Linked DNA regions of Caenorhabditis elegans. The protein of the gene in region 1 interacts with the protein of each later gene in a pairwise test. Each region holds a gene or a part of one and is shown in the gene's direction. Other genes may lie near its edges.

What was found.
Region 2: the proteins of vab-8 (region 1) and rei-1 interact in a two-hybrid assay, tested with the Caenorhabditis elegans proteins (one large-scale study listed by BioGRID).
Region 3: the proteins of vab-8 (region 1) and F25E2.3 interact in a two-hybrid assay, tested with the Caenorhabditis elegans proteins (one large-scale study listed by BioGRID).

Annotation. Positions count from the first base shown.
Region 1 is NC_003283.11:12,208,761-12,219,968, forward strand, and holds the start of vab-8 (Kinesin-like protein vab-8), read left to right. Parts: upstream 1-4,566; 5' UTR 4,567-4,575; coding exon 4,576-4,638; intron 4,639-4,723; coding exon 4,724-4,955; intron 4,956-5,098; coding exon 5,099-5,192; intron 5,193-5,237; coding exon 5,238-5,470; intron 5,471-5,513; coding exon 5,514-5,727; intron 5,728-6,043; exon of another isoform or gene 6,044-6,156; intron 6,157-6,217; exon of another isoform or gene 6,218-6,361; intron 6,362-6,954; coding exon 6,955-7,129; intron 7,130-7,776; coding exon 7,777-7,963; intron 7,964-11,177; coding exon 11,178-11,208.
Region 2 is NC_003281.10:4,093,065-4,102,964, reverse strand, and holds rei-1 (Guanine nucleotide exchange factor rei-1), read left to right. Parts: upstream 1-4,774; 5' UTR 4,775-4,836; coding exon 4,837-4,955; intron 4,956-5,113; coding exon 5,114-5,497; intron 5,498-5,549; coding exon 5,550-5,649; intron 5,650-5,705; coding exon 5,706-5,837; 3' UTR 5,838-6,062; downstream 6,063-9,900. Other genes in the region: C03C10.7 (uncharacterized protein), read right to left, coding at 6,063-6,219, 6,419-6,528, 6,578-6,798, 6,851-6,920; rnr-2 (Ribonucleoside-diphosphate reductase small chain), read left to right, coding at 8,077-8,130, 8,247-8,603, 8,658-9,013, 9,072-9,450; Putative casein kinase I C03C10.2, read right to left, coding at 9,685-9,888. UniProt on the Caenorhabditis elegans protein: Guanine nucleotide exchange factor for Rab GTPase Rab-11.1. Spatially and temporally regulates the distribution of Rab-11.1 to target membranes during embryogenesis. Plays a role in cytokinesis, probably by targeting rab-11.1 to the cleavage furrows.
Region 3 is NC_003284.9:807,557-818,208, reverse strand, and holds F25E2.3 (Acyl-CoA thioesterase II), read left to right. Parts: upstream 1-5,091; 5' UTR 5,092-5,108; coding exon 5,109-5,135; intron 5,136-5,178; coding exon 5,179-5,294; intron 5,295-5,550; coding exon 5,551-5,605; intron 5,606-5,682; coding exon 5,683-5,770; intron 5,771-5,816; coding exon 5,817-5,944; intron 5,945-5,992; coding exon 5,993-6,058; intron 6,059-6,362; coding exon 6,363-6,567; intron 6,568-6,609; coding exon 6,610-6,807; intron 6,808-6,855; coding exon 6,856-6,956; 3' UTR 6,957-7,036; downstream 7,037-10,652. Other genes in the region: Intermediate filament protein ifd-2, read left to right, coding at 2,292-2,507, 2,730-2,843, 2,887-2,984, 3,035-3,119, 3,260-3,736, 3,785-3,949, 4,010-4,186; F25E2.2 (Abnormal cell migration protein 18-like fibronectin type I domain-containing protein), read left to right, coding at 7,486-7,645, 7,694-7,813, 7,913-8,029, 8,263-8,339, 8,634-8,721, 8,772-8,891, 8,941-9,156, 9,605-9,907 and 1 more.

The DNA of each region.
Region 1 (11,208 bases):
CAAACGGAGGTTATCAGTTGCAGCCAGGTGTCAATTAAATAGGATTTATTTGATATCAAATTGATTTTTAAGCTTAACCCTCACAAACAAAACGTGGAACTTTTTTCAATTCACTTCACACCTAGAACCATCAATCAATCATTGGCAAATTTCGTACACTTGTTGTCTCATAGTCTTTCTTTTCCGATTTCCTCTCATCATTTTCTGCAAGAAAACTAAAGTCTTCGCAACACTCTCGACACCTGTTCCCGCACAAGTACCCACAAGGTGGAGCATCCAATTATTGTTTTTTTTCTGATTTTTATTATTTTGAACTTTGAATTTTCAATTGACAAGTGGAATCAGTAAATCCCAATCTTTGATAAAATAACACCACGTGTGTTGGCTCTTGATAATTGTGGAATCATTCTTTCAGGAGGGATGAGATTCGACTTCTTTTTACAATAAGATATAAATCAAGACTGGGAGGAGAAGCATGGGTGGGAGGCTGGCAAAATGAATGGAAAACCGAAAAAAAGAGACTTCTCACTTTCTATTTCATCTGTTTAATTTCATTTTGATATCTGTAGGCGTTCTTTTTAATTAGTGAAAAGGTTTTGTATTCCTAGCAAGTTCTCACTTCAGAATTTACAGAAAATGACAATTTAAAATTTTTTGTACTCAACTTTATATACTTATGAACATAAATTCACCAAGTTTCTCACCCCAAAAAATATAACCCTTATAATTTCAAATTTAATTAATATTCATTTGTACACGTGTTTTCACACTATTTGACTACTGTTAGCTCATTGTCATTCTCTTTTCAAAATTTATTCACCTGTACATCAACTAGTATTTGCACTTCCTCCTGGCTTCTTTCGTCATACCGCTCTCCAATTTATTCATCTTCCCGCCGTTCAAAACCTTTTTCGCGTTGACGATGATTTGTGATGAACTGTTTTTTTCTCACCTTTTCTTCAGATGCCATTCTCGGTTTCACACAAATTTTCGTTTTCTTGGCGTCCCTGAAGATCATAATCTCATCCCTTTTTTGTGTGACCACCATGAGCGGGTTGAGGTATCGAATACTAATTAACAGGAAAATGGAAAATAGAGAACTGGCCAGTTTTTCAAAGTTTTTGTTCGCAAGTTATCCGTCAAATTACTATTGGCTTTATATCCTGACATTTTTGAGTTCTGAATTGTTTATTAATACTCAGTTTTCTATTGCTCAAAAGTTTTAGAAAGCATTGCAAATATTTTTCTAGAGCGGCAATGCATAAACCCTGAAAAGTTTCAAATTTAGTATATTACCAAAAGGGAATCATTCCAATGGACGAGCTCCTCACACTATAACTCAATTTTGTTGCCTCACTGCGTTGGTTCGTTTTGAATTCTTGAGTTCCAAATTTAGAGTTCACTATTGAGAAATGTGATTAACCACCACATGGATCATCATCATCATGGTGGTTTCCATCTTTTCCTTATTAGCCACAATCATGCATTGAAACCCAAAACTAACATTATTGTTTCTGTTTGATTATAGACTATTCGCCTTTTCTTCTCTGAATTGACATAAAATTCATCATTTTTAGATCCAAGATTTGCAAGCTCTAATTGTCTAATTCGTTATCTAATTTGTTACTACCCATAAAAATTTTCTGACTACAATCGAATCATTTGATAAGAATCTTAACTGCTGGATCCTTATGCTGCTCAGAATCTCGAAATTACTTGGCACATTAATGCGCCCTCTTAATTTCTATGTCTCTCGATTTCTCGAACTCTTCTCGTAGACTGCGTGACAGTCAATTGGCACATATGTCATGAAATATAGTGATTTTTGACGACGAGAGGAGGGTGGCCACGGGAGGATGCAGGATTAGATGGCTCAGTGTCAAATTACTACATTCAAACCGAAGAGGAAGTCCGAACAAGAGATTAGATGTTTTCAAATATTACTTCGATGTTCACTCTCTATTATTAGAGCACTCTGCGATGTTTTAGACCGTTTTGAAACTGGTATTGCGAAAACTTTCGAAATTGCTCTAAAAGGGCAACTTTCATAATGGAATCTTTTTTTTTAAATTCAAATTTTTGGAAAAAAAACCTAAAGTAAAAAATTATCAAAATTTGAATGAAGTGTAGTAATTGAACAGAAGTTTTAGTTTTCCTTCAAAATTGTTGAACCTCATGAATTTTTTAGATGCCTCATTATGACCGTACATTTTGAATGTTTTAGAGCAATACGACAATTGTCTGAATCTATAATTTTGTTTCCGCAGGTGTTTTGTATTTCTATAACCTATATTTTTAGAGGAACATAATTGCTCATAGAGTTACCCTTTACAATTAGGAAGCACTATAGTATTTGGACCTTCCAATCCTTTTTGCTCATTTCCCTAATCAAGTCTTCGCCCTCCTTCTTCCTCCTCCCACCCATTTTGTGTCCACTCGTTCTTTACTCAAACATTTGTACAATTCCTCCTTTCCCGGGGCAGCTGATTGCGCCATAGTTGTCCTCTCAGTTGTCCCGTGGACACGTCCCACGTCCCGTTTCTCACTCTATTGCATTAAGGGACCATTGGAATTGGGCCAAAAGACATATGTGTCTATCTCTCTTTCTTCAAGACTCCACCCTTCTAAAGAAGATGTGGATAGAAAGAAGAAAAGGAAACCAACTCTTTCTATACATTTTACTCATCTTTTCTATTTTCTTTTCTTTCATGTGTTGCGTAAAGATGAACGGAGACTCCGCCCACTTTTTTCGGTTTTCTTATTTTTAGTGTTGTTGTTGTTTTTGTTGTGTCACTCTTGATATGTGGCTTGTACCTACAGTCTTGTAAGTTATAATCTCAAACTTTGACCTTAAAACTCCAAAAAGTTTCAAAGATTCTACCAGTGACCGGATGTTTGAAAAAAGAAGGAAATGTGCTCAACAGATGTGATCACTTCCTTTGGATTCTCCAGATGACTGAATTTTGTATTTTCTTATGTTTCCATTAGATTTAATTTTTAAAAAATGTATACCTGTTTAGTTTCCCGAACCACGAGAAATAATGCAAAATGATTTTTTCATCTATAAGAGCTCTTGTTTTCCTAGTTTCTGGTCATTTGTTTTAACGGTTTTTTTGCCTGACATGATAGATAAAATTTCATAGTTGTTTATTTGTTTGAAAATATCAATTTTCGCAATGAATAATCTAAAAATTAGTATCTCCTGGAGTATACTTACAGTAATCACTATTTTTCTATGATACCCGTTCCTCACCTGATACATCCAACTGTAGTTTCTGTGTTTTACTCTTTTATTAAATTTTGTTTCAAAAAAATGTGTTGCACTATTTTTCTATTCTTTCCCCTGTTTCACGCCCATCACTCGTCTCAAAAATCTTTTCACTACTTTTCTTCTCAACTCAATTCATTCCTAGGGGAGGTCAAATTACCACTATTCTTTCTTCTCACTTTCAATTTCGATTTGCTTTCTTTTCAGAAAATTACTGATATTTTTGAAAAAAAAATTATGATTATTAGTTTTAGTCTTTTTTAGTTGACAGTTTTTGATAGAATTTTTCATGTTATACATTTCTGTTTTTCGATACCAAAAATGTTTACCTAAACTGTCTAGACTTTTGAATTGGGAAATGTGCAATTCACAGATCGACAATAATTCTTTTATAAATACCAGGCGGTTTGTTCACGTGGTACTTTAATGACTTTTGGAACTTGACCCCGTCCAGGGACATAAAACCAAAACTATATTTAAATATCCAAAAGGCAAGACCTTATAATATTCACTCTACCCATTTGCTTTAATTCAAAAAAAAAAGTTCCCACAATGAATGGGTTTGTACGTATCGTTCATCCCCATCGCCAGGGCGTCAGAGAGTTCTCCATTTTCCGATGCAGTGTTGACTCACTTTTTGGCGGGAAATGGTCTTCTTTTCAAATGTTCCCTTTTTGGTACTTTTTGGTGGAAAACTGATGATATCATTTACTCTATTGTCAGACTGTTTCGTAGAATTTTTATGTTTTTTTTGGTTTCCGGTGGTTTTAAAGAATGTCAATTGCACATACGAAGTAACATTTCAACGAGCTGAAAATTCTTCGCGAAAGAGTAAATTTACTACTTCTTTCAATTTTTCTTTCACTTGTATATCTCATCTTATTGAGTAATTATTTGGAGCGTTGTACTACAGTTTAAGCAGAAAAGAGAAGATTTATAGAGCTTTATCATAATTTTTTGTGTAATCAGTTGTGGTCTGTTTCACAATTTTCAAAAAGTTGGCTCCGTGCCAGCAACACTTTCCGTTTTCCCACATTCCACCTCATTTTACTCAATAGGTGTTCGTCGGTAACATGAAAAGACTCATCTACCTCTTTTGATTATTTATGCAGACACGCTTATATGGGCACACACATACACACTTTGATGATAACGGTTTGTCCGTCTTTTATCAGGACTGACCCTTTCCTCCCTCGCAAATTTTTCCCGCGACATTCTTTTTGCTTTTTCTTTGGTTTTTTCTTTGATTTCCGTTGCCCGTTCCTTCCCGAATTGCGGATTAGAATGAATATTTTCAGACCTTATGAATGGAGGCATGCAGCAGTAAGACCTCGCTGCTTCTTCATTCGCCGTTGCGAACGATTCCGAAAGTAAGCTTTTTGTTGAATTATTTGTTTGCTAATTTTTTGGCAAACATTTCTAGTATTCACAGATTGAGATTAACACATTTTTCAGCTTCGACTATGTGCCAGTATAAGCAGTGAAGATGTTGCACATGGTCGGTGCAGTCTCACTGATCAACACTTGCAAATCGAAGGAAAGAACTATTCGAAAACGACATTTGATCATATCTTTAGAACAGATGCTACACAGGATGATATGTATACGGCATTTCTATCGGATACAATAAATTCAGTATTCGCTGGAAATGATGCAACAGTTTTAGCAATGGGAGCTAAAACTAATGGTGAGTAATTATTTTGGAGAGTAACGTTTTCAAATTTGAAGAACTTATACAATTTTCAATTTTTCCTCCATTTCTAATGGAGATACTATTTACGATTACATTAAGAATGTTTTTGAAACTCATCGAATACTAGAAATGTTCAGGAAAAGACGAACGTCTCTACGGGAACAGCGTTTCAAGAAACGGGTTGGTTCAAATGGCCATCACTCAATTAATGAATGCCCTTGATGATAACAAGTAGGTTTCAATGTTCTATATTTCCATTAAATTTCCTATTTCCAGAGATTCGGAAGAACGAATACAAGTTCGAATGTCTGCAATTATGGTGTCACAAAATGAATCTTCAATAGTCGATTTGTTAAGTCCATTCAATCCAGATCCACGTCACCGAGTGGTTAAAATAGTGGATGATGCTCGAACAGGAGTATTTATCGATAATGAGAGTGAAATTCGTGTCGAGACCATTGATCAGGCATTATTTTATTTGAATACTGCAGTGGATCATCGAATGATTCGTGAGTTGAAACATGATCTAAATGTCTTATACACAAGTTTCAGAAGACGAGCATACCCATCGAACAAGCCACGTGTTCATATCACTAAGCTTGTATTCGTATAAAATGGGTGACAAAATGCAAGGAGGACGTCGTCGACTTTGTTTCTTGGATATGGGAATTGGTGAGAGAAATTCAACAAATGGAGGAATGACAATGCCAGCATTAGGGAGTATTCTTTTGGCAATGGTTCAAAGAAATAAACATATTCCATCAAGGTGAGTATTTTGAAGAAATATTTTTTTAAAAAATTGGTCTGCAAATCAAAAGTGTACCTGGAGAAATCTGGAAATACAGCGTTCATAAAACCCTGAATATTCAATTAAAGTAGGAGGACTCGTGAGAATTTTGTTACAATCTACTCACTTTTATTATTTATTACCAAAAAACACAGTTTTGGTGAATTTTAATTTTTCGAGAAAAGTTTAGAGCAATGTGAGAAACAATTGATTTAAAAATCCTAGAAGTTAATCACCAGTCACTGTTTCATCCCCATATTTAAATGGAGCGTTCTAATTTGGCGTCACGTCTGCCTTGTAGGCACTCAAGTAGTCAATTTTTACTAGCTTCTAGTATAAGGAAGATCCATCAGAGTTTCACACATATTCTGCGGTCCTCCCCCAATTTTGTTCATTATGCCCTCTACTTCATCTCAATCAACCTTCATTTACCGGCGGAAAGATTAAGAGAAGATTGTCTAGTCACCCATTTATTTATTACCACTTTTTATTGAACCAGTTGTCGATGGATCGTTATTTGCGCGCGCGGAAGAAGTAGGAGGTGTGTAGGAGAGGGGCGCCGCGCTCTTCCAACATGGATCCTTCAGGACACATCAAAGAGAAGAGCCGCCCACGAGCCACACGAGGGATTAGATGAATTGGTGTCTTTTTTTATTTCACTGTTGAGAGATGGTACCTCCTGATGTTTTTGGTAGAGACAGGAAGAGGCGGTGAAGTGATGACATTTTCAATGAAAAAAAGAGAAAGCAGGGGAAGGGGAATGATGAATATAAAAATCGGGGGATTGTAAGAGTAATGAGAACAGGAAGGTGGACAATGAAAAAAAAAAACATCTCAATTGTTTTATTGCAAGTAGTTGTAATATTTCAACTCGAAAAGTTTAAATATTCAAAATTTGTCCAACTTTTTGCATAAGAAATGACCAATTAATCAATCCATATGCTTTTGTCGGTGAATCTTGCGTTTCCGGTCACCGCCTTCAAAAGTTGCTTGGGCATGCTCCCTTGGGAACGAAATGAATTTTATTTTTCTTTTGACTATCCTCCTTTTCCTTCTTTTTGAATTCTTCGTACCGAGAGAATAAATAACAAATTGCTGCCGCTTCTGCAGAAATAGAGCAGTGGTTCTTAGGGAATTGAAAGTTTGACAAGTGTTAGAATGTGTCAAAGTAGAAGATGTTAAAATGAAATTTTTCCTTTTTTACAGGGACTCGTCAGTGTGTCAACTCATCCGATGTGCATTGAGTACGTCAAGATTCACGACGTTCGTTTTTTCATTTGGTGCCAAGAGTGACGATAACGAGAACATTGCACATTTGGCTTGTAAAATCGCAAGGACTCGAGCAAAGAGTATGGTTGGACATGGAAGGAAGTCATCAGGGGTGAGTTTGAAAACATCAGTTCAGATAATTTATTACTGCTCGCATAATAAAGGTTTTTGAAAACTATTTTAAATTTAAGAATGGCAATATTTCAAAAATACAACAATTCTGAGAATTTATCCAAAAGCTTGACATTTGACAACTGTTTGCCAACTTACCGAAAATTTCACTGCAAATTTCAAAAGTATACAAGTTTTTGGAACATTGTATTCTTTCGTATTTTGAAGAAAATATTCCTACTACTAGTTAAATATTCTTACAATATTCCTACATTTTATTTTCTCTCACGGCACTCTCAAAAAATTCCTAGCGCTCAGTATTTGATCTGGTTGAATTTGGGGAAGTACTGTGCAAAGATATTTTTTTAATAGAAAACTACGATTTTGTAGGCTACTTTTTATCATTCTTTGACCTTTTTCCTCGGTCTCACTTTACGGTAAAATCCGGTCCACCTCTAGCATAACCTAAATATTAATATCGCTGCCGCAAACATAATACCATAATCGAAATTTGATCCTCTTTGTATGAATTCTTGTATATTGTATATTTACAAAGAAAAAACAACCGGCACTTCTTCCGCATTTTTTCTTCATTTTTAACATTCAGATATTTTTTTTTATTTAAAAAAATTGAAATTCTAATTTCAGACAATGTCAACTGGAACAATGGAATCAAATTCTTCATCATGTGGAACAACTACAATCACACCGGGAGGCACTCCTAGAACACAACGAAGATTTGAATTAGAATCCGGATCAGAGCTAAGTGCAGCTGAAACTGTGATATTCTTGGGTCCGAATTCCTCAAGAACAGCATCACCAGCTTCCACAACAAGTGAGTTTGAAAAAATCTTCGGGATGTGGGTAAAGAAGATTAATCGACTGAGATCTGATTTACGAGCCGCCCGCATTTTTTTTACGCTCGTTCGCATCGATATCTTCTCCCATCATTATCATCGTTAGTTTACGGAAGCCACCACTTCAAGGAATATAGTTTTCTTTTTTCAAGATTTTTGAAAATTTCGCGGCCAGTTTCACATTTGGGATTTTTCTTAACACTTGTACATTAAAATTAATTAAAATGTTTTTGTTAAACGATTTTTTAAGCACTATACCCCCGCGTTTAAGATTTTTCATATATATTGATGTCTATATAACCCATTTCTGATAATAGATGTTTGATAATTTAAGTATTTTTACGAAATAACCAAAATTGAAAGTATATCACAAGCAAGCAGAAGACCGATTTAATGTATTCATTATTTCAGATATATTTTCGATTGTTTTGGAATTTCTGAAAATAAGGTCACATGTTTTTGATTAAGTGCGAAAATCCTACCTTCTAACTTAAATATTTACACCGACATGGTGCTAATTGTTCGGTTTCTTTGGCATTTGTTTAATTACTGGTTAATCAAGTATTTTAGATTTGTAAGTAGTTTCTCATAGGTTTAACCAAGGGCCACTGAAAAATAAAAAAAAAGTGACACGAGGAAACCATGATCAATCATTTCTCATTTCTCAGTTCTTCTTGTTTCTCGGTGAGAAGCTCTTGGCGTGGAGCAAGAAGACACCCGGTTGTCACATATTTTTGTTACCCTCTTTCATTTCATTCGACATTGTTTCCGTTTTTCTTTAGAAGAAACATTTTAATTAAGGTTTTGAGGTTATTTGGACAGTTTTTTGAATAATTTAAGTGGTGGTACGCTTTTTTACAAACCCTGTAGTCATTTTTTTACAAACCCTGTAGTCATTTTATTTACAAACCCTGTAGTCATTTTGTTTTAAATTGCGGTCGGTCATAATACTCAGCCATAGTAGTAATGATGTAAGCTAGAAAAAACTACGAGCATAAAATTTTTTCAACATATTTTGTCAGTTAACAAACTTTTGATAAATCCAAAGATAGTATAAGCTGCCAACATTGATGATATGCAAGACTATTATAGGAAATACAATATATACTAACTGAAATATCCACAACTCAATCAATATATGTACAGTGGTTGCCAAAAGTATATGCGTTTTTGGTTTTTTGCTAATTCTTCATAATTTTCAAATGAGTATAACTCACAAACTAAGCACTTTGGAGAGAAAAGTTTAACTGATAAACTGTTGCTTAGAATCTTGTCTTCATGTTAACACATGATCCAACATTTCAAAAAATTCAGGTCAAGAGATACAGCGGGAGACACCTCGCGAGTCCATTTTTGGCTATTTCTCTTGAAACGCCTGTAGCTCGAGAATGAGAAGTTTTCATGAGAAAAGTTTTAGTAATAAAATAATATGCAAATATTTCTCTATCACATGCATATAGTCGTTTTTTAATCGAACAACCGGCAGAATAGAGCTGTAAGTTTAAACACGCGCTTCTCAAAGCACCGATTTGACCAACTGTTTAAAAACCAGGACATGTTTTTCAAAAATATATTTCTGTTTATATATTTTGACTAACTAATTGTATAGTTGAATTTTATTTACATTTCAACTAAAAAGCAAGTATTAGAAAAATTTAACCACCATTTTTACAAATTGTTCCCGACGAGTGCTGGTACTCCGCGTGTTTATACTTACAGTTCTATTCTACAGATTGTTTGATTGAAAAACAACTAACTGCATGTGATAGAAAAATATTTGCAGATTATATATATATATAATCTATTTTATATTATATTTTATTTATTTTTTTTTAAAAGATTTTTATTACTAAAACTTCTCATTCTCGAGCTACAGGCGTTTCAAGAGAAAAAGCCAAAAATGGACTCGCGAGGTATCGCCCGCTGTATCTCTTGACCTGAATTTTTTGAAATGTTTGTTTATGTGTTAACATGAAGACAAGATTCTAAACAACAGTTTATCAGTTAAACTTTTCTCTCCAAAGTGCTTAGTTTGTGAGTTATACTCATTTGAAAATTATGAAGAATTTGCAAAAAACCAAAAACGCATATACTTTTGGCAACCACTGTATGTACATATCTATTTGCTATGTACTTTCTATAAAACGCATCAAGCATCGACATTATTTGAAAATACAAATCTGTGACATGAGATTCGACCTGATGACTTGTTTTTGCTTTACTCCATAAGTTTTTTCTCTGAAGTAACACGTGATCCCTATTCCAATTCAATAAATCTATCAGATTTACAATAAGCAGTTCCATGTGTTCCAAATTCTCTCGTCCCGTTCTAAAAACCAAGAACTCGGTCGCCCCGCCATCCTACTCGTGCAATTCGAAAGCTATAAAAACAGAGTATTGGCTGTTAAAGTTAGATCAAGTAGTAGCAATAGTAGTACTCGATAGCTAGATCGAACACAACATAACCATAAAATTGGCCGCCGCTGTCTTCTTTCAATCAGATGCTCAAAGAGATTGCCTGCTAGATATTGAGATACGATAGAGACCAAGGAAAATTGGCGGTAAATCGTTCAAGGAGGTCGGCCCTTCCCCCTTTTTTCTCTTGATTGTAAACATTCTGGCCACCTAAAAGGTCCGGTGCACAGACGCCTCCCAGCCAACCCCTCATAAAACACCTCTCTCCCGGCTCATCTCTGCTCGGCAGATTAGAGAGTTGCGCGAGAAGAACGGTATTAGACTGTCGGCTGCCTTTTTTTATTCGCACTTTCCCAATACTTTCTGGTTTAATACTATGTTGCTTTTTGAGAGGTCACACTCTCACTTCATACAAGGTAATTTGATTTATTTCTTCGAATTTTCGTGTTTTTGAAATGAATTTAAATCTTACTTTGAATCTAATTTTCAAACACTCTTACGTTTTTTCTAAAATTTAGATTCCTATGACTTAAAGTTAAATTTAACCAAGTTTCAATGTTACTTTGATTAGAAATAAATGGAAAACAATTTTCGGGTATTCACGAGTTTAATATTCGAATGCAAATCAAAAAGTTTTTTATAAATATTCAAAACATTATTTTTGGGCCTGAAATTCAACTGCATTTTTCTTCTTCAAAAATCAAAATATACTCATGTTCCAAAAAAAGCTTTCAAACTAACGTGATCCTATTTCTTCGATAAATACATAATTTTCAGTGCCATTTACACCTACATCGATACGACCTCT
Region 2 (9,900 bases), on another chromosome or scaffold:
GGTAAAAATTCCATCAGTTTGAATTGTGTCTGAGTCGTCTCTCAACCGCCCTTCCCATTGCCTTCTCTGCGCCCTGAATATATATTTTTTGAACCATTTTCAACTTGGAAATTTTATGCAAAATAAAGTAATGATTCAGTGGAAAGAAATTTCTCAGCTGCTGCGACAAAAAGTTGGCAATATTTTAATTTAGACACTTTTTATCACCCCGCTTTAAATTTCCTTCTGCAAAATTAATACAAACTTCAAAATTCCGAGGAAAAATATGTTTTTGTCGATTTCAGGAATAATGGTAGGTGTGAACGAATTGTGATCAATTCAAATTTTTCGACTGTAAAGTTAAAAAATTTAATAAAACATTTTGCATCATATGAACGGTTTTAAATAATTTTCCCTCGAAGTTCTAGACCATAGCCTCTCAAAATCATTTGAATTTGGATTAAAAAAAACTGTCACATGAATCACAAGACAGTTGGAAATTGGCTCCCACCTGAATTTGTTTCTGTTTTTTTTTCAAATCCATTCTTGTTCAAAACGTTTCATTTCAAATTCCAATGACTTCTGACCAATATTTTTTTAATATAAAACCGCATACATTATTTCGTATTTCCATTCAATTCACCAAATGACGTAACATGTCAGTTCTCTCACTTTCAGCTTTAAATAATCTCTGTTTAAGATCTACAATTCTGAATTTATAGTCTCGAGAAAACCATTCTTTTCTCTTCATCTCTTTCCGTCGGATTCTTATCTTCTATGCGATTGTTGATGTTACACTAAAAATTTCTCACTTTGTCTAACTTTGGTAGTTTCAGATTTTTAATCTTCTAGTTTTTTTGGGTTCTTACCTTACTCGGTTTTTTGAATTTTTGAAATAGTTTTTTTTGAATTCAAATTTATTGGCTGGTCTTGAAAAAGAAGTTCCAAACTTAAACAAGCACACCTTATATTTGGTGAGTCCCGCCATGTAAAAGTTTTTCAGAACGAAATACACACAGAGCATACTTTCCAAATAATCTGTCTGGTCAAATAATTTATGGAATTTTTTTGGTACTAATTTCAATTAAAGTTATATAAATTTAAACTTTTTATCGTACGAAAATCTATAAAATTCAATAAAAGATCGGTTAAATTTTTAAAAATATTCATTTGGTTCCAGTTTTTTTTTTGAGATTTTCTGGAATTTTTCAAATAAATTTTTCAGAACAATTGCGACCATTGAAAGTATAAAAACGTCGCAAAAAAGTACTAGATATGCGAAAAAAAAAAGAATCATGTATCAAAAATCGGCAATTAAAAAAAACTTTATGAACTCATATCATAATATACCTAACTTAACTTGACTTATTAGAATTTTCCAAATCTTGTTTTAAACTTCTTAGAAACTAGAATTATTTTTGATTCTTTGAAAATCGTAACCTAACCTCCTATTTTCATTTGAATGAAACAATGTTCAAAATTGATCTAATAACGATATTTTCATGAAACAGAAAACATCATCAAAAAATATAAATATGAATCATTATTCATTTTTAAAAGCTTCCCCATCACATGACAGTACTTGAACATTGAAACATTGTTGTTTTCCGGTCTTCACGTTTCTTTTCTCGTATTTAACAAACCCCACTTCTCCTCCAATGAATGTGTGATTGTGAACCCAACAAAGTGTCTCGAAACAAAATCCCATTTCTTCCGAAACTTTGTCATTTACAATTCCTCGAATCCTGTTGTGTATCCTTCTCAAGACTTTTTGTTTCTCTCGAATCTCTTGTCTAATCCTATCCCTCAGCCTCCTGTCCTTTGACGGATTAGGAGACTTCAAAAAGAAAATTTGTGGTTTTTTTTTTGTTTCGGTTTGCTTTTCTATTGGTTCGATCGAAATACCTTGTGCTGCCATTCCAACTAGTTTGTTTTGTTGGCTTTTCAAATTGATGAAGATTTTGAAAGAGAGATAGAGAAAAGTAAACTCTTTACTTTGAAGATTCGAGGTTCATTTCACACAATTGATCACTCGAAACTATTTTAATCAGTTTCCAATTATTTTAGGTTTTTCCACAGAACAAGGCTGTGAACGTAGGCACCTACACGCCTACCTTTAGGCCTGCGTACCTCTCTATAATGAATTCCTATCTCAATAGTTCTAAAGTTTGAACAGTATATGATACTTTTATTTATAACTTTAAAGATTATCTCGTAGGTTCTTTGGTTTCTTGCAGAAAAAAAACTCGATTTTATTTCGCTGACACAATTTATCATTTTATCGTTATCCTTTGCCACTTACATATGTTAACAACGACGAAACACATCACACGAATTTTATTGTTGCGCAATTTTTTAGTTGAATCACAGAATTATTAGAAAAATTGAATCATAATAGTTTAGCGTTTTTAATATCAAAAATTGCACCTCAAATCGGGAACTTGAGTTACCACAATTTCTTGTGTACTGGCGGAGAGAGGAGGATAAAGGATACAGGCAGCAGAGCCTAAGCTCAAGCCAAAGCCCAACAAGCCTGCGCGTAATCATAAGCCAAAGCCTTAGCCTAAGCATAATCTAAGATTAAGCCTAAGCCTAATCCTAAGCTTCGGCCTACGCCTAAGCCTAAGCCTATGACGAATAGTCAAAAGTATCAAGTTTTTCAGATTATTTGGAACATATGTAATTGAACATGTGATTGGAAAAGTCCAAGACGAGAACACATCCATCACCTCCCCACTCATCCTACCCCAATTTTCTAAAATCACATGGAACCTGTTATCAGAGTTTGTTTGACTTCTCTCGTTTATACGGAACTGAAATATTTTTTATGAAAAGTGTGATCACATGTCCGACGACACCCACTAAAAATTTGACAACTTCGTACTTTCTTCTCCTTTGAAATCATCAATTTCTCCTGGTCATAGGGAAAAGAGATAGAGAGAGAGAGAAAGATAGAAAAGAGAAAATAGATCAGTATCTGTCTATTTCTCTAATTTTCTCACTTATTCTTCATCGGAAGAAGAAGAAGATGAAAAAGACAACGTCATCCACAACCTGTCGTCCCCCACACACCCCTACGACCACAAAAACTGTCCCCGTTTTTTCGACACCTCCCTGATGTTTTTCCCGCAAATCCTATTAAAGCTCACGCGCCTAGACTTCTTCAGATAGCACTCATAAAAGCTATTATTCGCTATTTGTCAAGTAAAATTGCCACATTGGCTCCTGTCACGAATGAAAATTTTCCGCTACCGTACCCTTTATTTTTTGTTGTAATTTTCAATTCTTTTGATATTCTTGATGTAAAAATTATATTTTTTATCGAAATCCCGTCAAATATGCTTGGAAAAAACGAAATTTCAAGAAAATCATCATCTACCGTACTCATGGGTACTGTAGCTGAAAAGTTTCACTCGCGTCGAGACCCGGAAGCATCATTTTGCTTTGAAATTTGCGCGTTTTTCCGATTTTCGATTCAATTATTAGATGAATTGAAAACTATCAGCGAAATCGTTTTATCATTTGACAAAACCTGAAAATTTTCTAAAAATGTTTTTTGTCAGACTGAAGAAAAATTATTTTTAGATTAAAGGATTAAAGGATTAAAGGACGATCGGTTCTTCAAGTGCTATGCACTGCGGATCTGGGATTCAGGTACACTGCCTGGTGGTGATCCTCTGGGCTGTAATTTTAAGCCACGTCCTAGCCGGGGACTGTGGCCGATAATCCAGTCGTGGATTGCTCCACTTCCCAATAGACATTCTCTTATTTTAAAAATAGAAATGTTGCAATTAATCGGAATTTTGCAGTTGAGGGGTATCGCCCCAAAAAAATTTTAAAAAAATATGTTTCAAAAAAGTACTTCTTGAGGACTGAGGCGACTCAACTCTTCCCCCACCTTCCACCAATTTTGCTCATATAACAGTCCACAATTGTGTGCCCCTCAATATATTTCCCCTTCGGTATAATTGGCCCATTTGCCCTCCACAATCTATTCACACTGTCCATCCCGACCGTCCGTCTCTGTTTCTCTCTTCTCCGTCGTCCCCCACACTTTTCCTACCCCCGCTTGTCGTTTGCACGGCCTTCAAACCCAAAAAACCGATGAAAACCGTATCTGAAATAGTTCTACTCTCCGTTTCCTCGTTTTCTTTGTTCTAGAATGGTTTCAAGTTCGAAATTCTCAAAAAATTATGAGGTTCGAATATTACCCAGACGCAAAATTTTGAGATTTTTGCCCTGAAAATACGGTACCTGGCCGCGAAAAGGCAATTTCTGAGATTTACAAACGGGGGTGCGCCTTTAAAGGATACTGTAATTTAAAGCTTTCGTTGCTCTCTGATCAGATTTTAATTGATTTTTCATAGTTGATCTCACAATTTATTAAATCGAATAATTTTGAATTTTATTATCTTAATTATTAATAAAGTAATATTATTTAATAAGTAAATTTATTTTCAACCAAAAACTATGAAAAATCAATGAATACTGAAATTACAGTACTCTTTAAAGGCGCACACCCATTTGTTTTCAACAAAAATGTCATGTCGAGGGCCATTTTTGCAGCTGATTTTTGCTATTAACCCTGAACAACTAAAATTGAGAAAATTGTCCAAATTTCATTCATTTTAGCCATTTTTGTAAGTCGAATTGATAATTTCTGAAAAACTCCCGCCATTAATTTCAAATTACGATCTGCAAACACCATCACGTAAAAATGCACAGTTTTGCCTCACGTTAAAATTTGCAAATTTAATTTTAAAAAATTTATTTTCTCATCTTTTCTCCTCATATTCTCTTCATTTCTAGTAATTTTCGTTCGAACAATTCGATTTCAGAATCAATAAAACATTAAAAATGACGGAAGGGGACGATCAATTAATATCGATTCGCAAACAACTTGAAAATTTAAATAATGCAACAGATGACATCAACAGTTATGAGATGAAGTTGGAAACTGTCAAGAAACAGTTTTGGTGAGTTTTAATTCATTTTTTATTTTAAAATAATTGCTTAATCGCTACACGTCTAAAACTGGAAACCTTTTATTGCACTAGTCATTCTTAACCAATTAATTCGCAAAAAATCGTACCAAATCTGGTTTTGATGCTAAAATAATCTTATATATTTTCAGTGAAACCCAACTAATGTTCAACAAAGAAATGCTTGGAATCCCTAAAAAGTTGGCCAAACACATATCAAAATCCCGTCAATTTTTCGATTTGAAAAGCCGCGAATCGGAAATCAGAAGATGTGTTCAACAAGCGGCAGCTCAATTTGAACGACAAAAAACTTCAGTTGAAATGGCAAGAGAACAAGTGCAAATACTGCATAATTCATTGAATAACAATCAAGAATTGGATGCAGAGAAACAATATGTTGATGTGATTGAGCAACAGTTGGAATTGGTTAAAGAAGCTGAGGGAGAATGTTTAAAAGCTGAAAAGTGTCATGCATCACGTGTCAGGGATTTGTTACAGTTGGAAATGGCTTTAAGGAAATGTTTAGAGGAAAATGGGTGAGTTTCAGGCATCAGGCAATTTTCTGACAATATATTTTCCGAATTTCAGATCTGCCATCAAAAAATCCCGGCCCTATTACGAACGAAAAGAAGTTCTGACGCGAACAATGAATTCTCAACTTGAGTTAATGTCAATTTTGGAGCATGAAGTAAGAACTAATAAGAATAAAACTGTATATAGATTAAAATAATTTTTAATTTCCAGGTACAAGAACGAAAAGACAGCTACAGTGATTCGATGCGAGCTTTAGAGCAGATCAGCGATCAAATTCATCAGGAGCGTTCCTCGCAAAGCAGTTTGGCTCCTTCGAGTGATGCAGAATCCGACAGCTCTTGATACTCTGAGCCACACCCTTTCTTCTCAATTTTCCACGTGTAATATTAGATTTTTCACGAAGTTTCGAAATCTCGATCTCACTTGTACTCACGTTCCACACCCAATCAACTTCACCAAAAATGTATTTTTACGGGTTTCAATCCCCTTTCTCTTTGCTCCTCATTTTCTCTATGTATCTCTTTATTTTGTGTTCGTCTGGTGCTTAATAACAATTTTCTTGAAACATTAAAAATTGTGATAATGAGAAGACGATGAAGTGCCCACAAAAGCATCTACGTGTGCACACGCTGCACTTCTTGTCGGAGCACTGGATTTATCAAGCAATCGTGAAGCCAATGTGCATAGCTCACAAAGAGTGGATGCCCTTGTCGCTGGTGGCAATCTGAGGGTGAAATAGATTGTTGAAAAATTGTAATTTTTTGAAATTTTGAGACGTTAAAAAAAATCGAAATTTCGTTGACTTGCAACTTGCGCGTCATATATAGTGTCAAGTACGCATACACCGCGACGGTAGAATGCACAAAATTGTCAATTTCAAAATTTTCATGATTTTTCTTTTATTTAACAATTCAATTTCTCACCTGCTAACCGAAGCGGGTCTTCTTTCTTCTGGAATAATTGGAATTTCTTCATCAGAATCCCATTTAAAATACTGAAAATTGTTCACACGCCGGCCAAGCTTTGGAATGCTCTAAAAATATTTGTGTCATATTATTGTTTCACTTAATTGAAGAGATTACAGGCATTTCTATATCATTCCGATTATTGCTCAATTCCCTAATAACCAACAATTCATGAGTTTCTCTACGAATTTCTTCATCTCTCTTCCTCTGTTCCTTCGCTTTTTCCTCTTCTTCAATACGACGTTTTACCTCTTTCTTCGCCTCTTCCCGCTTCTCATTTCTTCTAATCAGTTCTTCAATTTCACTTGATTGTTGTGGTTTAGGTGGCTTGAGTGGTTCTGGGAGAATTTTCAGGCACCTATGACAATATTTCTCAGACTCTAAACCTACTTGGCTTCCTTAAATGCGGACGTAGATCATCCTCGGACAGAGTTACAGAAAATCGACGATCTGACGCCATAATTTGATGTAAAGTAAAAATGGAGAAGCTTTTTTGTCTGGTTTGCTGGTTTCCAATGGAAACTCTCCGTACATTTTTCAATAAAACGTGGATCTAAAGCTACTAGGCAACCACCAAAATATTGTAGAATTTGAATTTCCGCCATAATTGGTTGGTCTCATCACGATATTCATCCAAATTTATGGCCCAAAACCTAAAGATAGTTTTCCAGTATTTCAATAGGCTTCGTTCCCGTCAAAAATAAGTTTTTCGAGAAAATACAAAATATTTTGTTGCGAAACTATAGTTAGGAGGTTATATTCTTTACCGTTTTTCCGCCAGACACTAAATCTTTATCAGTCGGACAATATTCATCAGACCTGTAAATTTTCTCTGTGTCTCCGTCATTTCTTTCAAAACGCGCGCCAAAATTTGAATTCGAACAATTGGCGCGAAACCTCTATTGCGCCCGCTGATTTCGTTCATTCACTCATTTCATTTCTCATTCGCTTCGTCTTGTGTGCACTGGAAGTGCACTCATTTGTCTTTTTCTTGTTAAATCTTTTCAATCACCATTTTTAATTAAATAACTTTAGGTTTTTGAAATTGAATAGCTGCTTTCCGGCTTTTCAACACATTTATAGATTCTTTTTCAATATATAAATTGAATGTTTTTCCAACAAAAAAAAATCGTTCGGTCACTCCATTGGTCACTTTTTTATCAGTAAGCCTCGCAAAAACAATATATTTTTGATAAGGAATTCATTCAAAATTCAGTGCAAGAGCCCTATTCTAATTTCTCACCCATTTATTTGCATCATCTGCTCCCATCATTGACCATGCCTACGTCACAATTGACCTCCTGCCGGCATACGATTTTCCGTGCAAAACTGAACACAGGACCGTCTGTGACGTCAGCATTTCCCGCCCTTCACCCATAGTTCACCATGACGTCAAAAGCTCCGCCTTCGTTAAAACCTTTGGTGCTGGTCATTCCTTGTCTCAGTCTGTCACAGTCGCCGGTCCTAGGTGGTGACTTGTGTGACCTGAATAGTGTTCAGCTGGCCATTTTTAATGTTTCCTCTTCTCTATCAATTGTTTTCTTCATTTGCACACTATTTTCATTTTATTTTAAACTTTTCAGGATCGCAAGCACTATCCGCGTATATCTACTAAAATGACCCTCACCGAGATTCAGAATGTCGAGAAGGAGAACGCAGGAGCATCAGTGGTAAGTATTTAGTGTAAAGTCCGCGAAGAGGCGCGAAATCTGGTGCTTTTGCACAAAATGTGCACAATTCTACGACTTTTCCAGTATACTCATTACGTATGCCTTCGAATTTACAGCCGAAACACTCATCGAACAAGCTGAAGTTGGAGAAAGAACTGGAGAAATTGGAGATTGTCGATCAGACCAAGGCTGCTTCAGCTGAGGAAACAAATAATGAGTCGGAGGTGAATGAGCTGGATGCCGACGAGCCGATGCTTCAAGATTTGGATAATCGATTCGTCATCTTCCCACTGAAACATCATGACATCTGGAACTTCTACAAAAAGGCAGTTGCATCATTCTGGACAGTCGAAGAAGTCGATCTTGGAAAGGATATGAACGATTGGGAGAAGATGAATGGTGACGAGCAATACTTCATTTCTCGGATCCTTGCCTTCTTTGCCGCATCGGACGGAATTGTCAATGAGAACTTGGTATGTTTTATTTGATATCTCAATAATGATTCAAATTAACGATTAAATTTTCAGTGCGAACGATTCTCGAACGAAGTTCAAGTCTCAGAAGCACGGTTTTTCTACGGATTCCAGATTGCCATTGAGAACATTCATTCAGAGATGTACTCGAAGCTGATTGAGACTTATATTCGTGATGAGACGGAACGAAACACTCTTTTCAACGCCGTTGATGAGTTCGAGTTCATCAAGAAGAAGGCTGACTGGGCTCTTCGCTGGATTTCGGACAAGAAGGCTTCGTTCGCTGAAAGACTCATTGCTTTCGCAGCTGTTGAGGGAATCTTCTTCAGTGGATCATTCGCTTCGATCTTCTGGCTGAAGAAGCGTGGATTGATGCCAGGATTGACACATTCCAATGAGCTCATCTCGAGGTAATTATTATTATTACGAGATTTAAATAATTTTAATGTAATTTGATAATTTTTGCAGAGACGAAGGACTTCATCGTGATTTCGCCTGTCTTCTCTACTCAAAGCTTCAAAAGAAACTCACTCAACAACGCATCTACGATATCATCAAGGACGCTGTGGCCATCGAACAAGAATTCCTGACTGAGGCACTTCCAGTTGACATGATTGGCATGAACTGTCGTCTTATGTCACAGTACATCGAGTTTGTCGCCGATCATTTGCTCGTCGAGCTCGGTTGTGACAAGCTTTACAAGTCGAAGAATCCATTCGACTTCATGGAGAATATCTCGATCGACGGAAAGACTAACTTCTTCGAGAAGCGGGTTTCCGAGTATCAACGTCCTGGAGTGATGGTGAATGAAGCCGAGAGACAGTTCGATCTTGAGGCTGACTTCTAAAGAAAATATTTCCAAATTTCTATTTCTAACCTCATGTTTTCCTTCCTTTCATGTTTTTCAACCTCACCCCATTTCTCACATTCACTTTGTTTCTGTTACGATCTCGTGTAATTGATCGAAAGCACTTGTACCAATTTCTATGAATCGCTTATCTTGACTGAAAAGATGTTTGAAACTTTTTATCATTAAAAATGAAAAATTGTGATTTCACTTCATTCATAATTCATTCAGAGTTCAAATATTCAATGTCGTCTTGTATCCATCCTCCCAATCATACGGTTCGAGCAGTGATTTCGGGCTGTATAAACATTTCAGACATTCCAGCAGTTTTTCATACGGTAGTTCAACAACGGGGTCACATTCCAAAATCATCTTATGAAAGTCGACTAGGATGCTCGCAATGTCCTTGAACATCTCTCCATTCTTGGTAACCTCGTTCTGAAATCGGAA
Region 3 (10,652 bases), on another chromosome or scaffold:
CCAAGCAGTTTCAATACAAACATAGGATATGTTAACAACTTTTGATAAGAATCAAGTTACCAACTGTTCATTGTGAGCTTTGAGCTGTATAGAAGGACAATGTATCCCATACCTCAATCTTTAATAGTCATCAGTCACTGGTCCCGCACCAATTTTTTCGATTCGCATATGTCATATATTGCACCGTGGCCCTTTTTATTGTAACTTTTAATATATTTTCTTCCCAACTTGTGAATATGATTGATGAACCACCATTTTGAGTAATAAATGTATTTTTTGTGGACATCATGTTTAAATAAAGAAAACATAGGCAGTTTGTTAGGAGTTAAGTACACTTTCTGGTAAACTTAATGCCCCTTAAACTTAAATTACAGACAGAGAACTTATAATTTTCAATAGAGAAAAAAACAGACTTTCAGCGATCGGAACTCACACCAGCTACTCAACTACGCCTTTTTTGGTAAATCTTCTACAATAAGAGCCGAAGGTTCAAAAACGTAGTAAGCGTTTATTGAGTGAATAATACAGATATTACACAAAACTTATGACAACTTGCTTACAATTTGTGGAAAACAGTAAACTTCATCGGAGCAGACGCGCGAGACAACTTTTTGACAATGGTTTTTGTGATGTTGCTACCAGATAGCGCCGGTTCCGAATAGAAACGTTTATCTAAATTTTAATTAATTTGATCTTAAATTTAAGTTTACGAGCTTACCGTTGTTAAGAACTCCCAAAGCTTGATTCATCGCTTTCATTTGATGACTGAAGCCACAATCAAACGAGAAAGAGCTCATCTTTTTTGTAGAAGAATTAAGTGGCGGAAAATGATCAATTGGCACTTGGAAAATCATTTTTCTTGAAAATGTTGAAGAATAAAAGAATATAAAATTCTGCAGATTAATATTCTTCTATTCTTAGCCCATCTTTAATACTGGAATTTGGAACGAGTTTTGAAAAAATTTGACGGAACAGTGATGTAACTTGCCATAAGGACATAAGAAACGTCGTTAAACCATTCAAATAAATTGGATACGGTAATGGTCAATGCGAATCTGGGCGATTTTTGGAAACTCGATCAAAGATGATGAATTCAGGTTTTTGGGGCGTATAACATCAGCGTCAATTTCAGCAAAAATAAAATTATAAGGATTTGCGAAAATCATGAGTTTTGAATTTCAGATCATGTATAATGTCTGAGTAAAAACTTTTCACTTTGGCAGGAATGTTTCCAGGCAGCATAGTAATCAAGTTTACCATGCCACTCCTAAAACTCAAGCATATGCCGAATGTGAGCGGCCATTTCTTAACTCTGTTTATGTCGGCTGCATATGTGTTACTGAAGTATGTTATGGTTATGTATTCGAAGGCCGAACAAGGAGAGAAGACGAGTAGTTTATTACATTACTAAATTAAGGAATGATTAAGTTAGTTCATAGAGTTCACGTTGCACGATCTTCTTAGCCACGTCGTGGGTCAATACACGTTGATACCCAACAGTTATGACGTCATCAAAAAGGTCTCTGCGAGCACTTCACTTGGCAACTCATCAATCCTACATTACTTCAGTCAACTTATTGGCAAATTAATCAAAATCAAAAAAGGACGTGAGAATGAAAAGAAGATCTCCGAGAATCGCGGGAATTTAGACACAGACTTCTCAACTGATTTTGCATGGTTAAGAACGTGCTGACGTTACTTTTTCTGTGAAAAAAATTAGCGCATTGTTTGTAGATCAAACCGTAATGGGACAGTCTGACACCAAGTGCCCCACCTTGATCTCCCGAACTATAGCCGGCCCAATTGGCCATTTCATTTATTTGTTTAAATCATAATTTTCACGTTTCTTCCTCTTTCCGGTGTAACTCTTATCTTGACAAATAAGCATTAATATTATTTATCAAAAACACAAAACTAATACAAATTTCTTCCGTTTCTTCCTTAGTCATCAAGCTATTTTCTAACCCCCACGCCATGTCATTATGGAAAATGTCAATTTCCATAAGAATTTGAGCAGTTTTATGATTCACCTATTTTGTACGTTACAAGGCACATTCCAAATGAGCTAGCCTGCGTGATAAGTGATAAGGAGGCGGTTGATAACGCCCCGTTTTACCATTTTAAGTGTTTCAGACCGTTAATGTCGCTATACAACTATTATTTATTTAGATAATAGTGATTGGAACGGCTCAGTTTTTCTCATTTTTTAGTTTCAGTGTTTTATATTCAAATTAAAAATATTCAAGTTTTGTTTTTTTTTATTCAAAACTAATTTCTAGAATAAAAACGCCATGACTGACCCTCTCAACCCAACGCGTCTGCAAAATCATCCCGCTCTTGCAAGAATTATTGAAAGCGGGCGGACAAATTTGCCAACCGGAATAACTACCAGTGGAGCACTTTCTGCATATGCTCAAAATGCGGCTGCTATCATCAGAGACAATCGTGAAAGGGAGAAGGTTGAAATTGCAGATTTGAATAACCGATTGGCACGATATGTAGAGAAGGTTAGTTGAATTTTACTAGATTTTGAAACTGTGTAAGTGATAGGTTTATAATCATTGTTGTCCAAATAATTTTGGTATGGAGTGCGCCAAGTTTTTTAAATTTATTTTTATAATTAAATAAATTAATCCGGAAAACCTGAATAAAGTATCAAGTGCACACTGAGCCTTTACCAAAATATTAAATATTGTATAATATTCTGTTTGAACAAAACTATTTTTCAGGTGCGCTTCCTTGAAGCACAAAATCGAGTTCTTGAAAACGACATTGGTGTTTTCCGTAATGCAGCACACACACATTCGGAACGAATTGCTGTCTATTTTGAATCCGAAAAAGCCGTAAGTAATCATTTTTCTATTAAGCTTTAACTTTAAATTGCAGTCGCTTTTCACTTTGGTCCGTGAAAACAAAGCTAAGATCTCGACGGCTGAGCAAAATATCAGAAAACTGGAGCCAGATGTGATTTCTGCAAAGAAAAAGTTAGTTTTTTGTAAATTTACTATACAACTAGTTGTACATATAATTTCAGTTTGGAAAGCTCTTTCCAGCTGAGAGTTCAAACAAGAGAAGACAAAAGAAGTCAAATGAAAATTTTGTCAAACCTGGAGGCAGAGGTTAGTAGACACAATTTGTGTAAAATTAATACAAAAAATTATTTTTTTGACCTAGCAATAGTTCTGGTGCAACAGTAAAATTTCCATTTTTCAAATTGTTTTTTTGAGTTCTCCGATTTCTCAAATCCAACAATTTACAGAATTCTTACATCAAACGTCTCACAACTGACTGTGAAGAAGAAAAAAGCCGTGTCCACTCTGAAATTTCGCGTCTCCGAAGTGATATCAAACGAGTGCATGCACTGCGAGACAAAGAACGCAGCAAGCACTCAAGTTCGTCTCAAGAGTTATTGAAGCGTCTTAACGGGTGCATTTCACAACACGACATTGCCATTCGAGAGGAAATTAGCAAGGCTAGACGTGACACAACAAACAAGAACAGGGACTATTTCCACAATGAGCTGCACGCGGCGATGAAAGAGATTCGAGACCGATTCGAGAAGGATTCACGTGCCGCCAGAAAGACATGGGAGGATTGGTATCACAAAAAGATCACGGAAATCAAGAAGGGATCCGAAAGCTATAGCTCAATACAAAACCAGGCAAGAGAAGAGATTCTTCGAATTAGGTCGATTGTCAACGAGTTCCGAGGAAAGCTTTCAGATTCTGAAACTATCGTGAGTTTGGGAGTTTGGGATCATTTGTTGAAACGTTATTGAATTCAGAATCAACAACTTATCAAACGAATCGACGACTTGCACTTCCAAGACAAGGAAAATCTAAGATTGTTCGAAATTGCACTCAATGAAAAAGAAAATCTAGTAATTAAAATGAGAGAGGAATGCACAAAACTTTCAGTGGAACTTGACAAATTAGTAGAGAACCAGATCGTATGTTCAAAATTTAAAGTTTTAAATTCACAAATTTGTAAATTCCTTAATAATTTCCAGAACTTGCGAAACGAAATCAACCATTACCGCAAACTAATGGAAAACGCTGAGCACCTCCGTACCACAGTTCAAACCCACGTGACCTATAATGCTCCACCGCCACCCTTGCCACAGTCAGGCCCTAGAACAACTTCCTACCACGCCTATGGTTCGGCATACAACGATTCCTTATTGTAACAACTTCGATTGTCATGTTTTTGTTAATTTTGAGTATTGTAATTTCACAATTTCAAACCACCCATGTTCAAATGTACGGCTTGAACTTGCAAAAGTTTGAAGAATTTATTTTTCTCAATTTTCATGTTATTTATATGTTTTATGAATTAACGAATAAAATGTTTTATTTTACTTTCTATGTAACCATTAATCGGATGAAGGTGGGGTGTTCAGTTTACCAATGTAGATCAAAAATAATTCAAAAAAATTTTTTTTGGTACTCTTTCCCTTTTTGTTTCTGAAACCTGATTATGAAGAAGATGTAGGCTTGATGATGGTTGAAAAAAGTGACGTCACTGGGGCAGGGTTTTCTACACTTTTTTCGAAACGCAAAAGCCTTTTTAGTTGTTCTTTATATAGCAGCTCTGGTGTTTTTTTTTTCTAGCAGGCGTATGTGATTTGAAGTTCCTCTTTGATCACTTTGAAATGTAATAATGTACTGATAAACTGTACACGTGAGGTCTTATGTATTTTGTTTGTTTGGCCACACTATACTAGGCAACAAAATTCCAGTTTCCGCTTTTTCTGACTATAAATCATTGGTTGGCAACTCAATATGCATTTTCTGCATTTCTGAAATTATTATAAATGCAATTTCTCAAAAAAAAAAACGGTTTTTTTATATTTTTAAATTTTGAAGTTTTGAACAGTATGAATTCTGAATTTAGTAGCAAATGCATTTTAAACTGTTCAAATTATTAGATATCACTTCCTGTTCTAGTTTTTTTTCAAAGTCTCATTTAGCCTACACTGTTGCGTCGTTATTGTTTTGTTCGTCATCTCCACTCAATGATTTTCTCCCCAAACTTCTGCGTCTCTCAAAACATGTTTTCGCGTACACAGTTGAAAATTTGAACTATTATTTTCAATTTTCAGATTGATCATGGCAAAACCGAAAGCACCAACCGAGGTATGTTAGGGTTTGTTTCAATTGCAATTTGAAAGATTTTTAGGGAACTCCTTTGTGCAACGTGGAGCATATCGAGTTTGAGTCAAGAGCAAATGATATAAAAGCAGGGCTCATTGATACTTTTCTGAATCTACAGAGAATCGATACCAATCTGTACATGTAAGTGTTGGAAAAATGATGTATTTTCAAATTTTGCTCAACAACATTTTGATTGGTGCTCGGAGACAGCTCAAACATTTTTCGGAACAGTCACTACAAAAATATCCTTAAAAGTGTAAAAAGTGTTCAGGCATGTGCATTATTAATAAAGTCTTTGACTCTGCTTATAATATATTTTTGAATGATGTGACATCACACGTCGCACAATTCCTGACTCGATCATCACAAAACATGAGAACATTAGATTTTCTTGCAGCGCTCGCCACTTGTTGAAGGGTCGTCATTCCTACAATGCCGTTTATGGCGGTCAGGTAAGAAAACTCAAATTTTCAATATAAACTTCCAAATCCTATATATCAGTTCCCACCGATCATCCTCAAATATTTAGGTTGTTGGTCAATCGTTGGCGGCAGCAGCTGCCACCGTGGAAGATTGTTTCATACCTCACTCATTACATAGCTATTTCATCAAGACGGGTCAGTTGATAACAGAAGACGGCAACTGTTGTGTTGTGTGTTTCAGGGAGTGTGGACAAACCGATTCTTTACATGATCGACCGCATTCGAGACGGAAGAAGTTTTTGTACGCGAGTGGTGAAGGCTGTGCAGGATGGAGAGGCAATTTTTTCTTGCCAAATTAGTTTCCATCATGTATGCTGGGGAAATGGAACAGAGAATAAAAAAAGAGATACTTTTCAGAAAGAACCCGATGCAATTAAACATAGCTCCAAAATGCCGGAAGTAACACCTCCAGAACAATTGCTTGTAGGTTGCTTCAAAACAATCAAGTTTTTCCATGCAGGCACCAAAACGCCTGCCACGCGCTTTCTGTATAGTGCCGCGACGGAAGAACCACCTTTGGCACTATTTGGTGCAAACATGAAGCCTTTGATTGTTCGCCATGGCGTAAAAATAAGGCGAGAGGCCGGCGTGAGGCGGGCAGGTTAGAGGCAGGCGTCACGTCCTGAAAACAGGCCCACCTCCCATGGAAGCTTGAAATATAACTAAAAAATATAATAACATTACACTGCAATTCTAGGTTTACTTTCCATTATTATATATTTTCCAGCCAGCTCGAGAAGCAGCGCTGGAAGTGCTCCGCACGAAAGAAGTCGATGAAGTCACCGCTGGTGTCATCCAACATTTTTTGAAAGAAATTCCAGATGCTTTTGAGCGAGTTTTTGATGTTCGCCCGGTCAACCCAGCCAAGTACTTGCTTAAAGAAGATACTGAGCCAATGTCGATGATTTGGATTCGAGCAAGAGAGAATTTGGGTTAGAAGTTCAAAATAATTCGTTTTCAATACTATGATTCAGGAGATGATCACCGTCTCCATCAGTGCGTCGCTGCTTACCTCACCGACTTGAGCATGCTCACCACGGCAGTACGACCTCATATCAGAAACGGATTCATCCCTTCAATGTCTTTTTCCCTGGATCATTGTATTTGGATGCATGAAAATGAGTTTCGAATCGATGATTGGATGCTGTATGAGACAATTAGCTCAAAAGCTGGTATAAAATTCTGTAAAATATTTTTTAAGAAATGGCGTTAAATTCTAGGTGGAAGTCGTGCATTTATTGAAGGCCGTTTATGGTCTCGTGATGGTCGACTTATCATTTCGACTGCTCAAGAAGCACTTGTCAGAGCTCCAAAAGTTTGACAATATTTGAATATTTTGTTTGGTTGTGTATATATATTCAATTTTGATAACTATAAAATGAATAAATGTTTAGAATTTTGAAAAGTAAGTACCAAGTTACTTAACAATAAATTAGTACCATCACCAGAAAGCCTGCATCTAAGATTCGAAGCTTTCAAGAAATCCGCGTTAGCGTAGTAAAACAATTTAGGAAAAAAAATACTAGCAGAAAACTGTTTCCCTAGTTTGAGAAGTTTCAGGACTGTGGTCTCGTTATGGTCTATTTATTGTCATTAAAAAATAAACATTTGTCATATAATTGAGCTCTATGAGCTCCCCATTTTGTTTTTTTAAATAAAGCCCGATCAATAATAAATGTACCAGAGATGTATTTGATACTCGCAGAGACATGTCCGATCGGTTGATAAATCGTTCTCCCTAAATTCCCCCACATCTCTGTTCCCCTCATGTTTTTTTGCATTCTTTACTGCACTTTTTGACATCCCTCACCCATCCCAGCTCCCCAAATTTTCATTCCTGTCTTTTCGACATGAACATCGTTACTTTCCTACTTTTCGGAATATTTCCACTTTCAGCTGCAATTTCTCCAATTAACCTGGAGAATTGTAATCCGGGAAGTTATTTTGTGGAAAACTATATCAAGTACCAATGCTATCAAAGTGGAAGTGTAAAGGGTTACAATATTGCTGGTGGGTTTTGAATTAGAAAATTAAAAAGAAAAAAAAATAAATTTTTAGGATGCCAACCATCGAATGATCTCACCGGTGTCACTTTGCAACAGTGGGAGACCCACAACGAAAAATGGTTCAAGTATCACTGTGTAATTGATGGAACTAATGCTCAGTACTCTGTGAAGAGTAAGTCAGGAGATTTTTGTTTGTTAGTCATGTACCCCTGTTTAAAATTTTGGCTAACTGGTAATCTAATACACAAAACGCAGTTACATAACTTTGCAGCCTGCCTCGACCCCGTAGGAGAAGTTCTACCAGTCGGAAAAACCCGCTCGTTCCCAGATGGAGAAACATTTACATGCTTCATAGAACGCAACAAGGTCAAGCTGAATCACCAAACAAGTGAGCAATACATGATTTATCATGCGATTGTGCCAGCTAACTATGTCATCGTTCGACCAAATGGTGATGTTGAAATCTAATGCATCCATCTGTTGTAATTTTTCAATTATTCCCATTGTATGATCCCTAATAATCTTTTTTATCACTACATATATGGCAAACTTTTGTAATTGTTTAATTTTTAACAATGAAGATGAATTATCAGATTTGTAAAATTGTTCTCAACATTTCAGCTGCTGGATGTCAAGTCGGCGATCAAGTTTATGGAGATAGAGCTACATGGATTGATAGACGAGAAGATGTTATCATTGTGAGTGAATGTCAAAAATCTATTTAGTTGTATTTCTTCTAACAGTTTCAAATTATGTTTTTTAGCGCATATGTTGATTCAATGTTTTGATATGCGTAAGTGAATACTAAGGATAGGTAAAGATGTAAACAACCGGTACAAAATATTTGGTAGTAACACTTTGGGGTAGATTCAAAGACAATTGGCGTGTAAGCTATTAACTTTGATCAACTGGATTTTGGATCAAACGTGATTCAAGTTCTTCATAATTTTTTTTGCAAATTTGATCCAGTTTCCAAATTCCATTTAACTCAGATTGGCTCAGAGAACAAAGTTGTTGGAAAGGGATCTACCATGCAATGCAAAAAATCGGAAAATGGCTCATTTGTTGTAGAAGTTGCAGGTTGCACTTAAAAAGATACGTATTAACCAACTTTACAACTTTAATTCCAGCCTGCTTAACTGCAGAGAACACATACATTCGACCAGAAGATTTCGGAACTGTAGACGATGCAGTTGTCAAATGTGCAATGGTTGAGGGGAAGTGTGTGCTGAGAAAAGCTGAAGTCACTGGTAAATCGTAAATGAAAATTTACAACTTTTGTTACGGTTTTTCTATTAGAACTCGGATGCAGACACAATGGAAAAGTATACAGGCACAATGAGGAATGGAACTCGGAAGATGGTGCCACGGTTTATGCATGCCAATTCGGGAAAGTGGAGAAAGAAGGATGCCTTGTTGGAAATTACCTTATTCCATTGTATGCAATTCGCTACGTTGATGGAAACGCTTTTTATTGTTTTCAAGGAACACAAGTTCGATCATTCGGAGATTTGAGTGAGTTTGCATAACATATTTAGTAGGGTATTCGGGTTATCGCACAAGAAAAAAACATAAATTATGTTGTAAGGTGACATATTAATGTGCATAGTCATAAGGAAATTAATAAAAAAAATACCAATGAGCTACCGACCGTTTTGTGGCTAGGCATAGAGGCTAAAATGCTACACACAAGAACTCACCCTACACTGCACAAGCGGGGTAGACATATCACATAGAACAGACTATATACAGGTTGGAACTCGATAATGATTTTATGTCGGTAATCACTTTAAAACGTGGTTATTTTCTGTATTTTTATTTCAATACAAATACATTTCGCTTTATACGACGTTGGTTTTATGAATCTAACTATATTGAAAAATAGGAAATTTCATTAAAAGAATCTACCGAGTTATTGAAAATGATTGGTAATAATTATAAAACCAAAATCTTTAACTTTGAGAGGGCTGCACAACAACATCCGGCGATATCATCCAATTTGAAAATCGTGCTAGAAACGGAGACCGCCTGGAATCCTGTGGGTTTAGCATTAATCGAGATGGAACTGTCGAGTTTAAGTGGACACAAGTCGGGTGTATTTATTCAAAGGAAATGATAACGGTAAATGCAATTCAACAATTTGGAGACCAATACGTGCATTGTGCTTTGAATGGAACTGCTGGGTATATCGTAAAAATGATGACAAGAGAAGAAGTGGAGAAGTGGTTGACAGCGACTAAACAGCAGTGGAGCAATATTGTTTCAGGTATTTTATGAGATGAAATTGTTATTTTAGAGCCAGAAAAAAGTTTAGAATTTATAATTGATTGGTGTCCGAATTTTGGAAGTTTTCACTGTAGATCCAAAATAAATTTTTTTGGAAAAAAGTGACATAGCTTACCTGATTCTAATGAGTTTTTTCAGTGGGATTATTTTTGGTCTAACATGTACTACTCTTAATCTCGGACATCGATAGTGTTTTTTGGTAGAGCAGTGTAAGTGTCCCTTGTAAAGTTTTTGAAAAAAAAAACATTATTCATTCATGCGCACAAAAATGATTATCAAAAAAACTTCCACCGGCAAATATTCAGGGAAAGATGGAAAGGGAAATTCTGTAAAACGAGAAGTTCCAACAACACCTCTACCTACAACTACCACCACTACTACCACAACTCCTAAGCCAACAACCACTACAACAACCACTACAACTCCAGCACCAACTACTACTCAAAAACCAACTACTACCACAACTACCCCAGCCCCAACTACAACCAGCACTACTTCAATTCCAACTACCATTGCAACGACAACTGCTGCTCCTTTGAAGAAGTGCACCGATTTTGTGGAAGATTGTGACAAGTTAAGAATCTATTGCCATACGGAGGCAGAAAATGCAAAGTTTTTGAAAGAAGCAGTGAAGAAGTTCTCGACGAATCCGAAAAATAGATCGAGAATGTTGGAATTCATAGATCATGTTTTGTAAGTTCTTTCAACAAAAAACTGTTAACAAT